Rattus norvegicus: one gene and its partners. The protein of the gene in region 1 interacts with the protein of each later gene in a pairwise test. Links are inferred from orthologs where the notes say so. Each region holds a gene or a part of one and is shown in the gene's direction. Other genes may lie near its edges. The genes, in order: Kifc3, Cby2 and Trim54.

Region 1 (3,753 bases):
AGGGTTCTCTGTATAACTCTGGCTCTCCTGGAACTAGCCTGTAAACCAGACTGGCCTCAAACTCACAGAGATCTGCCTATAGACGTACAGTACACCATCACTGCCCAGTGTAAAACAAAAATTTTAAAATAGTCTAGCGTGGCGACTCACACCTTTAATTCTAGCCAGCACGTGTGAAGCTGAGGCAGATGGATTAGAGTGAGTTGGTGGCTAGCCTGGACTACATAGTTCTAGTTCAATTTGAGCTTCGGTGTGAGAGCCTGTCTCATCAAACCAAAATAACAAACATAGATAAAATAGAAGCAACGATCAGGTAACTTTAGCTTTGCATGATACTCGAAAAAAATTAAGAATATAAGGCGAGGGCTGGAGAGATGGCTCAGCGGTTAAGAGCACCCGACTGCTCTTCCAGAGGTCCTGAGTTCAATTCCCAGCAACCACATGGTGGCTCACAACCATCTGTAAAGAGATCTGATGCCCTCTTCTGGTGTATCTGAAGACAGCTACAGTGTACTTATAGATAATAAATGAATAAATCTTTAAAAAAAAAAAAGAATATAAGGCGAGGGTGGTAGAAAGTCACCCTCTCTTAAGAAATAAAGCAAGAGGGCCACACAAGCACAGCGTAGATACACTGTTAGGACAGAGGTGATTGCAAACAGCTATGAGAAGAATTTGGGACTTGTTTTTAATGTTGATGAGGACGGAGCCCAGGACCCCACCTATACCAGACCCGTGGTCTGTTCAGAACCATGTACCCATTATGTGCAATAGGATTTTAAAAGGAAGGGTTTTGGGTTTGTTTCTGTTTATTGCCAGAAGGTCTTAACTCACTATTTAGCCCAAGCTGGCCTTGAAGTTGGTTCTCCCCCCCCCCCCCCCCGGAGCTGGGGACGGAACCCAGGGCCTTGCGCTTCCTAGGCAAGCACTCTACCACTGAGCTAAATCCCCAACCCCTGGCCTTGAATTTGGAATCCTCCTGCTTTAGCCCCTTGAGTGTCAAGAGTAGGACGATTTTTGGTGAGACAACACTAGACACTGAAAGACAAGGTTTTTTTGTGGGCTCCAAACAGTGTGTTCCAGCATGTTCGTGTTGGGCAGTACTTTTTGAAGGCTTGGTTCGTGGGCAGCTGGTTGTGACTGATAACTAAAGGACACTGGGCAGGAGGAGGGGATGGCTGCCGAGCCTCCAGGGAGGTGTTCGCTTAGGAATTTGTACTTTAGCCCGAAGGCTGTGGGGCACTAGGGAAGGAAGCTGGCTCGGGAATGTCTTGGGCTGAGCTGCTGTTCGGAGAAGGGACCCTGGCAGCCTTCTGGAGATCCAGAGACAAAGATGAGCCAGAAGTGGAGACTGGGATCACCACGCAGCAGAATAAGGTGAGGACCAGGGCTGAGGGACAGTGGGAAGGAGGGGGAAGGCAGAGAGAGGTTTCAGGTAAGACGGGTTTCTCTGGCTAGAGGATCGAGATGCTTCTGGGGTTCAAGTTACTACCAAGACAGGAAAAGAAAAATGGTGTTAACTAAGTGTCTGTGTTTTGGGACTAAGATTTCAGAAATTGCCTCTTGGAGTTAACACGTACTTATTTGTGTATATACATGCTTACGCACACGCAGGACCACACGTGTGGACGTGTGTTCCATTGGTAGGAGTCAGTTCTCTCCTTCCACTACGTGGGACAGGAGGACCCAACTCAGTTCTTATTCCTGGAGACAGGTGTTCCTGAGTCATTTCATGGCCCCTGGAAATGCCTTCTGGCATGACATTCCAAATGGATGTACACCAAGTACTCTTGGGTAATAACCTCTCAACTAAAGGGGCTCACTCTAGAATACTCCCCAGCCCTACTCCACCCACAGCATTAATTAGAGTTATAGGTAGACCCCTCACACCCCCAGGCCTGAGAACCTAGGGAAGTGATAGATCTGTCTGCCCAGCATACACAAGCTCTGGGTTCCATTCCTGGCACCACGGCTCCCCAAACCGATAACCTCCCCTCCCCATCTTCATGGTCATCCTCTTCTAGAATACGACACTAATATTTTCCTTTCTTTTTGTGAGGTGCCGGGGATAACTCAAGGCCTGTACCTACTAGGCAGGTACCCTACCACTGGGCTAAACTTCCTAGACCCCTGTCTTTTGTTTGTTCCTTCCTTCCTTCCTTTCATTCATTCATTTTTTTTGACAGTCTCACTATGTAGCTCTGGCTAGCCTGGACTCACCATGTATACCAGGCTGCCCTAGAACTCACGGAGATCCACCTGTCCCTCCAGAATTGGGATTAAAGACATTCACCAGCACGCCCAGCCCCAGTGTATTTAGTTATCCTAATGCTGCTGCCCTCGGAATCCTCTTCCTCTGGCTGACGCACTGATAAGGCTCAGGACATTCTTTCTCTCTCCTTGGCCCACAGTCATGGCGAACAGTCTGAAGTGGCCTTCATGCTAGGCAGCTAGGCTACCCTTGCGCTGGATGGACAGAATGTCCTGGGAATGAAGAAGGAGGGCTCTTTGGGGATGGCCCTGGAAACCTAGAAGTATTTGCCAATGCAGAATGCCCTGTTTCCTTTGGGCCAGGTGTCACACTGATTTAACCCATCAGAAGGTTACTTTGTATCTCAAACTAAAACTTCTGCAAACTGAATAGAAGTGTGATGATGAGTCGGGGAAGCTGGGGCAAAATGCTGTCCCTTTGCATGTTTGAAGCTCCCGGGTGGATTTGCTCGAGTCGTGCAGGCTTCTGAACCTGTTTGGTGTTTTCCGAAAGAGCTGCTGTTCACTTCTGCTTGTTCGTTTTGTGGTTTTGCCTTGCTCTGTTTGTGACGGAGCCCAGGCTGGCCTTGAACTCACCACATATAGCCCAATCTGGCTGCCACGTTTCCGTCCCCCTGTCTCATGTATAGGCATGGGTCAGCATTTTTCTCTCTCCTTGGGCTTGCATTTTTCGGGGCTTGCAGTATGCCAGGACAGTTGATCCCGGCTCCCATGGAGCCTCCAGAGTGGGAACAAGAACTCAGGTGACAGGATAGGACCTCAGGACAGGTTCTTCCCTGGGACTAGGGAGCCACTTCTGAATTCATGCCTGAATCCAATAAGCACTTAGTAGATAGGGATGGCGAGAAAGGCCCTTCAGAGGGGCTGGGGGGATGCTGGGATGCCTCCCCACACCTCTCTCTCTGAGACAGGGTTTCTCTGTGTAGCCCTGACTATCCTGGAGCTCGATCTGTGACCAGGCTGGCCTCAAATGCACAGATCCACCTGCCTCTGCCTCCTGAGTGCTGGGATTAGAGGCCTGTGCCACCACCATGTGGCAAGGGGATGCCTCTTTAGCTGAGCTCTGAAGGGTGGAAGAGCTGCCAGGCACAGGCAGGCATGAGGAGAACCACCCTGCCTGCCGGATCTGCTTCCAGAACCCCAGCTACCTTTTCCTCATGTAAGCACAGACTGCCAACCAACACTTCAGCTTCCTGAACCATTTCACCTTTAAGAAAAAAAAATGATTTCCTGCCCATGGGACCCCTTGCCCTTCTGGCTTGCAGTTTCCTGGGGAGCACTGGCCCTGGCCAACTGTATCTGATTTACTACAGGACTGGGAACCTGTCCTGCCCAGTGCTGTAAAGAGGATTGGGGTTCCGTGACAAAGGGGAATTCTACGTAAGCTTGTTTCATTCAAGTCGGTTTGGTCTTTCTAAACTTTACTCCGCCTTTCTGCCTTTCCGCCTTTCTGTCGTCGTTTTCCAAGAAAGAACTAGGAGA
Region 2 (3,136 bases), on another chromosome or scaffold:
CAAGTGTGGGATTTCTCACTTTAGACACTACATAGATGCTCAGAAAACTTCAGAGTTTGGAGCACTTTGGAAGTAAGAACTCTCAGATTAGGGATGTTCAAGCTAAAATAGTATTTCGCTTGCCAGCGCTATGAGGATTAAGTGAATTATACAGGTAAAATGCGGCCACATAACCAGCTGGACTTCCTGCAAATGCCTGTAACATCGACTCTGAGAAATCTGATGCCTTCTTCAAGGTGGTGCAGTTATCCCAGGTTAACACTGTAGAAACTGGAATTCACACAACTTGCCCAGATTCATATAACTGATAAGTGGTAAGGCCAGAGGTTAAGAAAAAAAAAAAAACAAGTACCTTTCATTTCTGCCACATGATTGGGTCTTATTATGTGTGACTTTTCCTTTTTTGAGACAGGGTCTTGTTTTATGCAGTCCTGGTCGGGACTTGCTATAGAAAGCATCCAGTATGGTCTGGAAGTTCTGCTTATATTCCTTTCTACACTGTCTCTGAGTATCTGGGGTTATAGGCCTGCCCAGTGCACGGTTAATTATTTATAGGTTTTATAGTTATGACTGAATGTATGGACCTTTTGACTACACCAGCTTTAGTGCTCATAGAGTATTTGTGGTCTCTCTAGGATCTACAGAGTTTGTATGTGGGTATGCGGCCAAGAACTGTGGTTCGGGTGCTCCCCCTTGTTTGAACACTCATCCTGGCAAAGGGTCTTGTTTTCAGTTTATAAGCCAGCTTGGTTTTGAAACTTTTGTGCTCCTTGTTGGCTTCACCGTTTAAAGTGGCATCTACAGATACAGTTAAAGACTCTTCTTTTTTTTTTTTTTTTTTGGTTCTTTTTTTTCGGAGCTGGGGACCGAATAAAGACTCTTCTTAATAACCACGGTCTGTGCTGTGCCCCGAAGAGCGAGCTTGTCAGATAAACTCTGCTCATGGTATATGATGCACCCACTGTCAGTCTGCGTATCCATGACAGTGTCTTTAAACAGAAGCACGGTGTTCTATCTGGTCAGTCGACAGAAATTTTATGATGAAACTGCCCCATTTTTCCCCCTAGGAACCATGGTTCCGTGATCATTAATTCAGAAGAATGCTACCCAGAATAGCAAAGGCTGGGTATATTTCCTTGTGAAGATCCCTGGAGGTCATATGAGGGGGTCTCCAGGCCTCTTAGTCCACCCTGAGCAGTCCTCTTAACAGTTTCTCCATTAACAGCTTCCCTGCTTTTCCTCCCACAGAGGGGCACGGAGCCCTTCCTGAGGCTCCACAACCTATACACCACTCCTCGCTGCTCCAGGCAGGCTGCCATGCCCCGGATAAGCCGCAGGGTAGCCAGCCAGCACTCCTACCCACTCAACCGCTTCTCCTCTATGCCCTTTGACCCCATGGAGCGCCCCACCTCCCAGGCCGACCTGGAACTAGACTACAACCCTCCCCGAGTGCAGCTTAGCGACGAGATGTTTGTCTTCCAAGATGGGCGTTGGGTGAACGAGAGCTGCCGCCTGCAGTCACCTTACTTCTCTCCCTCCTCCTCCTTCCACCATAAACTGCACCACAAGAGGATGGCCAAGGAGTACCTGCTGCAGGAAGAGAACAAGTCTCTTCGGGATGAGAACAGGGCTCTGAGGGATGAGAACAAGGCCCTCCGCAAGGAGAACAAGATTCTACAGGTCTTTTGGGAAGAGCACAAGGTCACTTTGGGCCACGAGGAGAGTCAGACCTCCTCGCCACTGCTGCACAAAGACACAACCTCCCAGGAAGTAGTGAAGAAAGACAACGCCACTTTGCCTGCCCAGCGTAGCAAGGAGAACACCCTACAGTTCATTCGAGAGGAGAACCGGGCCCTCCAGCAGTTGCTGGAGCAGAGGCAGGCCTACTGGGCACAGGCAGAAGAGAGTGCGACTTCTGCTGAGGAGGGCAAGCCCACCTCCTCACCCAAGGAGGAACCCCATAATTCAGGGCTTCTGCCAGATCAGAGCACAAGCCACTCCTCCCACTTTGAGGAGCCCAAAGCGTCCCCTACAACACAGGAGGACTCGAAGACGCTGCGCGCCCTGAGGGAGATGGTTACCAACTTGTCCGGGCCATCTGGGGAAGAAGAGGGCAAGGCAGGCCCTAATCTAACTGACAGCGCTCAGCCCCTGCAGCTGCTGAGAGAGATGAATCAGGCACTGCAGGCCCTGAGGGAGGAGAACCGGCTGCTGCAGGAGGAGAACAGGGCTCTCCACGCCATGCGTGAGGAGCATCGCGTCTTCCAGGAGGAGAACAAGGCCCTGTGGGAGAACAACAAGCTGAAGCTGCAGCAGCGGCTGGTCATCGACACGGTGACTGAGGTCACAGCTCGTATGGAGATGCTTATTGAGGAGTTGTATGCCTTCATGCCGGCCAAGAACAACAAAGATCCCAAAAAGCCCAGCAGGGTCTGAGGCCTCGGCAGTGGACATAGACGCCAAGACCAGGCCGGAGAGAATCCTCAACCTTCCTTTGTCTTCCTTGTGTTGGCCCAGCAGTGCGTGCCTGTGGGACAGCGGAGAAAGGGCCATCATCCACCCGAGACACAATAAAGGCAGAGGAGGCTGGGGCCAGCCAACACCACCGTGGAGTTATGGCTTCTCCTTCTCCTTCCTTCTTGCTCTTTTAACGTCTTACCTCTTTCCCTCTGTCCCTCCTCCTCCTCCCCCTCCTCCTGCCCCTCCTCCTTCATTAACTATCTCATTAACATGTCCCCCTCTCTCTTCTTTCAGCCCCTGTACCTTCTCTCCCCTTCTTCAGTCTTAACTGGCTATCATGGTACATTTCTGTACTCTTTTAAGACTCAGGAGGCTGAGGCAGGAGGATTGTGAACTTAAGGCTTATCTAGGCTACATAGTAAAAAAAAAATGGCTTTGCAAAATGCAAGGGGTTAGGAGATGGGGCACAGGCCACAGACCGACAGGCCGACTTTTTTTAGAATGACATTGAGCTGAAAGCCAGAGTTCCTGTAGACCGCTGCCCATCAATACCCCCTACCAAAATCTACAAAAATTGGGGAATCCACATGGACTTGTCATTAGCACATGAAGTCCCTAGTTAGGATCCTCGGGTTACATTCTTTAGGAAATGAGCCAAGAACCATAACCCACTCCT
Region 3 (3,653 bases), on another chromosome or scaffold:
CCACCTGCTCTCTCTGCAAGGTCTTTGGCGCCCACAAGGACTGTGAGGTGGCCCCTCTGCCCACCATTTACAAACGCCAGAAGGTATGTACTCAGGGAGGGATGGGAAGGGGGTTGGACAGGGCAGTTCTCACTGTACTTAGGTAAGGGGTAGCTGAGCAGGGCAAATCCCCAGCTCTGGTCCTGACTCTGCACATGACCCTGAGGCAATTGCCTGACCTCGCTGGCCTTGCCTGCCTTCTCTGGACAGGCGAGGTGAAGACATAGTTGCTGTCGTCACAGCATCAGCTAATTAATACCTGACGGGAGCCACTTCAGGACCGTATCCACCAAAGGACCAGATGCCCTCAAGAGTGTGAAACCACACAGCTAGCTTCTAGATATGCACGGTTTTAAGATCACAGTAGCTGGCCTCTGAGAAGAGAAGGGCATCCTAGGAGGGGTTGGGAGGGCAGGGCCAGAGAAGTCCTGTAGACAGGAGAGATGCCACTCCTCAGATGACCAATGCTGGCACAGTTCTGGCTAGAGATGGAGGCTGTGCCACAAAACCTGCAAAACGTGTACAGGTAGAGGTGTGTTTGAGTCCCCAAACATCAGCTGGGGTTGAAGTCCCAGGATATCAAGGCAGTCAGCTGTGTCACCTGGCTTTTGACAAACAAATGCAAGTGTCAAGCTGGAGGAAAATACCTTCAGTGCAGGCCCTTAGATTAGGATCAATGCCACAATCTCTCTCAACGGAAGACACACAGAGAAATGGACCACATGAGTGAAGTTATCAGAAACAGTGACACTGGGGCTGGGGATTTAGCTCAGTGGTAGAGCACTTACCTAGGAAGCGCAAAGCCCTGGGTTCGGTCCCCAGCTCAAAAAAAAAAAAAAAAAAAGAAAGAAACAGTGACACTGTGAACCCTCAGGGAATTCAAAAGCTGATATTGAGAACGGAAACTTGCTATGTACACGGTGTTTTTAGAAGATAGAATAATGTCAGGTGTGGTCGAGCACTCAGGATGCTGTGTGGCCAGCCTGGGCTACATAAAGAGTTCCAAGTCAGCCTGGGCTGTATAAGGAAAGACCCTGTTTTAAAGAAAAATAAAGATGAAATAAAACAACGATAACAACAATAACGAAAGGTGGAATTGGAGATATAGGACACTTGCCTTAGCACAAAGCCCTAGATAGATTCCCAGACCTGAAACAGACGTATAAAATGACCATGTAACAGCAGCGGCCTGTTGTGGTGATGTACACTGTAATCTCAGTGACTAGGGAGGCCAAGGAAAGAGGATATCAGATTCAAAGCCAGTGTAGATAATATAGAAAGGCCCAATCAAAGAAAAACCCAAACCAAAACACAGGGAAAATAGATCTGAGAAAGAACTGAGTGGAAGCTAATAACTGTGGGAAAATCAGTAGACGGACCAAGTGATGGATTTCTCAGAAGAATCACTGAATGGAGGAAGAGTACAAACAGGCAAACAAGTGAAAAGGACAAACAAAAAATAGAATGCAGTAGCACCAGGAAGTGGCAGGTGGAGAATGGGAAAGCGGACACAGTCCTATTGGACTCCCAGAAGGACATGAATAGAAGGGAGCAGTGTTGTCTGAGTGGGTAGCCCCAAGACCTCCAGAATTAATGAAAGCTGTGACCCTGCTCATGAAGCATCTAGCCCAGAGTATGGTACATGGTGGGTGTCTAGATAGTGTCACCTCCCCAGCCCTCTAGATCGTTGCAGATGTCCCCAAATGATCCAGGTGGGACGAGAGGGGTTGGGGCTGGGACTTCCAGCTCTAACGCTGGCCCATGTGTGTGTGACAGAGTGAGCTGAGTGACGGCATCGCGATGCTGGTGGCAGGCAACGACCGTGTGCAGGCAGTGATCACGCAGATGGAGGAGGTGTGCCAGACCATTGAGGTAAGCTCGGGCTGGCAGGACAGAGGGGACAAAGTGGTCCGTTCAGAGTCTCCGAGATACACAGAGAAGAGTTCTTTGACTTCTGGTCAGGCTGGTCAAAAAGTTTCCAGACTCTAGCTCATGGTGGGTTGTTTTTAACCAGCTTGCTCCTGGCACCCAGCAGCTCTGTAACGTTGGTCACATTATTTCCCTTTCCCAGGCTTTCATTTTGTTTGTTTTTTTGCTATATTACATGGTGATGACCAGAGGGATGGAGGTAGGATGATAGCAAGTTCCAGGCCAGCCTAAGAGAATTATGGAAATCCTATTTCTAAATAAACTAAATAGGAGACTGAAGGAACGGCCATTCAGAGCCTACCCCACATGTATGTGATATATATATATCATATAAGTATATATATGATATATATATATGCCACCAAAACTAGATAAGATTGATGAAGCTAAAAAGTGCATGCTGAAAGGGACCGGATATAGATCTTTCCTGAGAGACACATCCAGAGCATGTCCAATACAGAGGTCAATGCCAGCAGCAAAACACCGAACTGAGAACAGGACCCCTTGTGGGGAATTAGAGGAAGGATTGAAAGAGCTGAAGGGGTTTGCAACCCCATAAAAACAATAGTGCTTGGGGCTGGGGATTTAGCTCAGTGGTAGAGCGCTTACCTAGGAAGCGCAAGGCCCTGAGTTCGGTCCCCAGCTCCGAAAAAAAGAACCAAAAAAAAAAAAAAAACAAACAAACAAAAAAAAACAAAACAAAAAAAACCAACAGTGCCAACCAACCAGAGCACCCAAGGACTAAACCACTACCGAAAGACTATACATGGATTGGCCCAGGGCTCCAACTGCATATGTAGCAGAGAATAGCCTTGTTAGAGCACCAGTGGAAGGGGAAGCCCTTGGTCCTGCCAAGGTTGGACCCCCAGTGCAGGGGAATGTGGGGGGGAGGGGGGTGGATTAGGGGGAACAACCATATGGGGGGAGGGGGAAGGGATGGGGTCTTATGGGCAGGAAACTGGGAAAGGGAATAACATTTGAAATGTAAATAAAGAAATATATCTAATAAAAAATAAAATTTCAAAAAAAATAAGTAAATAATTGAGCAGGGTGTGAGAGCCCCAAACTATAATGGCAGCACTCTGGAGGCTGAGACAGGGGGATGTCTCATTCAAGGCCCACTTGATCTTGTCTCGAAAATAAGTGGGACGGGAGAGACTGCCCAGTGATTGAGACAAGGTATTGCTACAGCAGATGACCAGAGTTCAGTTCCCAGCACCTGCACTGCAAGGTCAAAACTGCCTGTAACTCCCAGCTTAGAGAATTCAGTCCCTCTGACCTCTGATCGCCATGGGCAAATACACCAAGCACATCGTATACCCAATTGAAAATAATGCAAATAAAATTGTGGCAATAAATAAATAAGCAAAATAAAATGACATAAATGTGAGAGGCATGGGGAGGAGGGGTTTATAGAGGATGGAGGGAGAGAAAAGAGGCTGGGACGTGAGATTATATCAGTGTATATATTCATTTATCAATGAATACATTTAATTAAAATTATGTAATGAGAAACAATTACATACCTTATTATACATAGTTAACCAAACATATTTGAATATTGTGGCAATATTTCCAGTAAATTAATCCTAGAAATTTAGATTTATTGTTTTACTTTCGATTATGTGTGTTCCTGTGTGTCTGTGTATGGGCATGTACACACTAATGTTAGCATGCATGGAGGT

What was found.
Region 2: the proteins of Kifc3 (region 1) and Cby2 interact in binary tests that used the Homo sapiens proteins (3 or more experiments, as listed by UniProt). The two-hybrid records come from large-scale screens. The link is inferred for Rattus norvegicus from reciprocal best matches to the Homo sapiens genes KIFC3 and CBY2.
Region 3: the proteins of Kifc3 (region 1) and Trim54 interact in binary tests that used the Homo sapiens proteins (3 or more experiments, as listed by UniProt). The two-hybrid records come from large-scale screens. The link is inferred for Rattus norvegicus from reciprocal best matches to the Homo sapiens genes KIFC3 and TRIM54.

What each region holds. Positions count from the first base shown.
Region 1 is NC_086037.1:9,830,002-9,833,754, forward strand, and holds the start of Kifc3 (kinesin-like protein KIFC3), read left to right. Parts: upstream 1-1,157; 5' UTR 1,158-1,266; coding exon 1,267-1,377; intron 1,378-3,753. UniProt on the Homo sapiens protein: Minus-end microtubule-dependent motor protein. Involved in apically targeted transport. Required for zonula adherens maintenance.
Region 2 is NC_086033.1:57,318,289-57,321,424, reverse strand, and holds the end of Cby2 (protein chibby homolog 2), read left to right. Parts: intron 1-1,248; coding exon 1,249-2,436; 3' UTR 2,437-2,605; downstream 2,606-3,136.
Region 3 is NC_086024.1:30,961,399-30,965,051, reverse strand, and holds part of Trim54 (tripartite motif-containing protein 54), read left to right. Parts: coding exon 1-83; intron 84-1,815; coding exon 1,816-1,911; intron 1,912-3,653. UniProt on the Homo sapiens protein: May bind and stabilize microtubules during myotubes formation.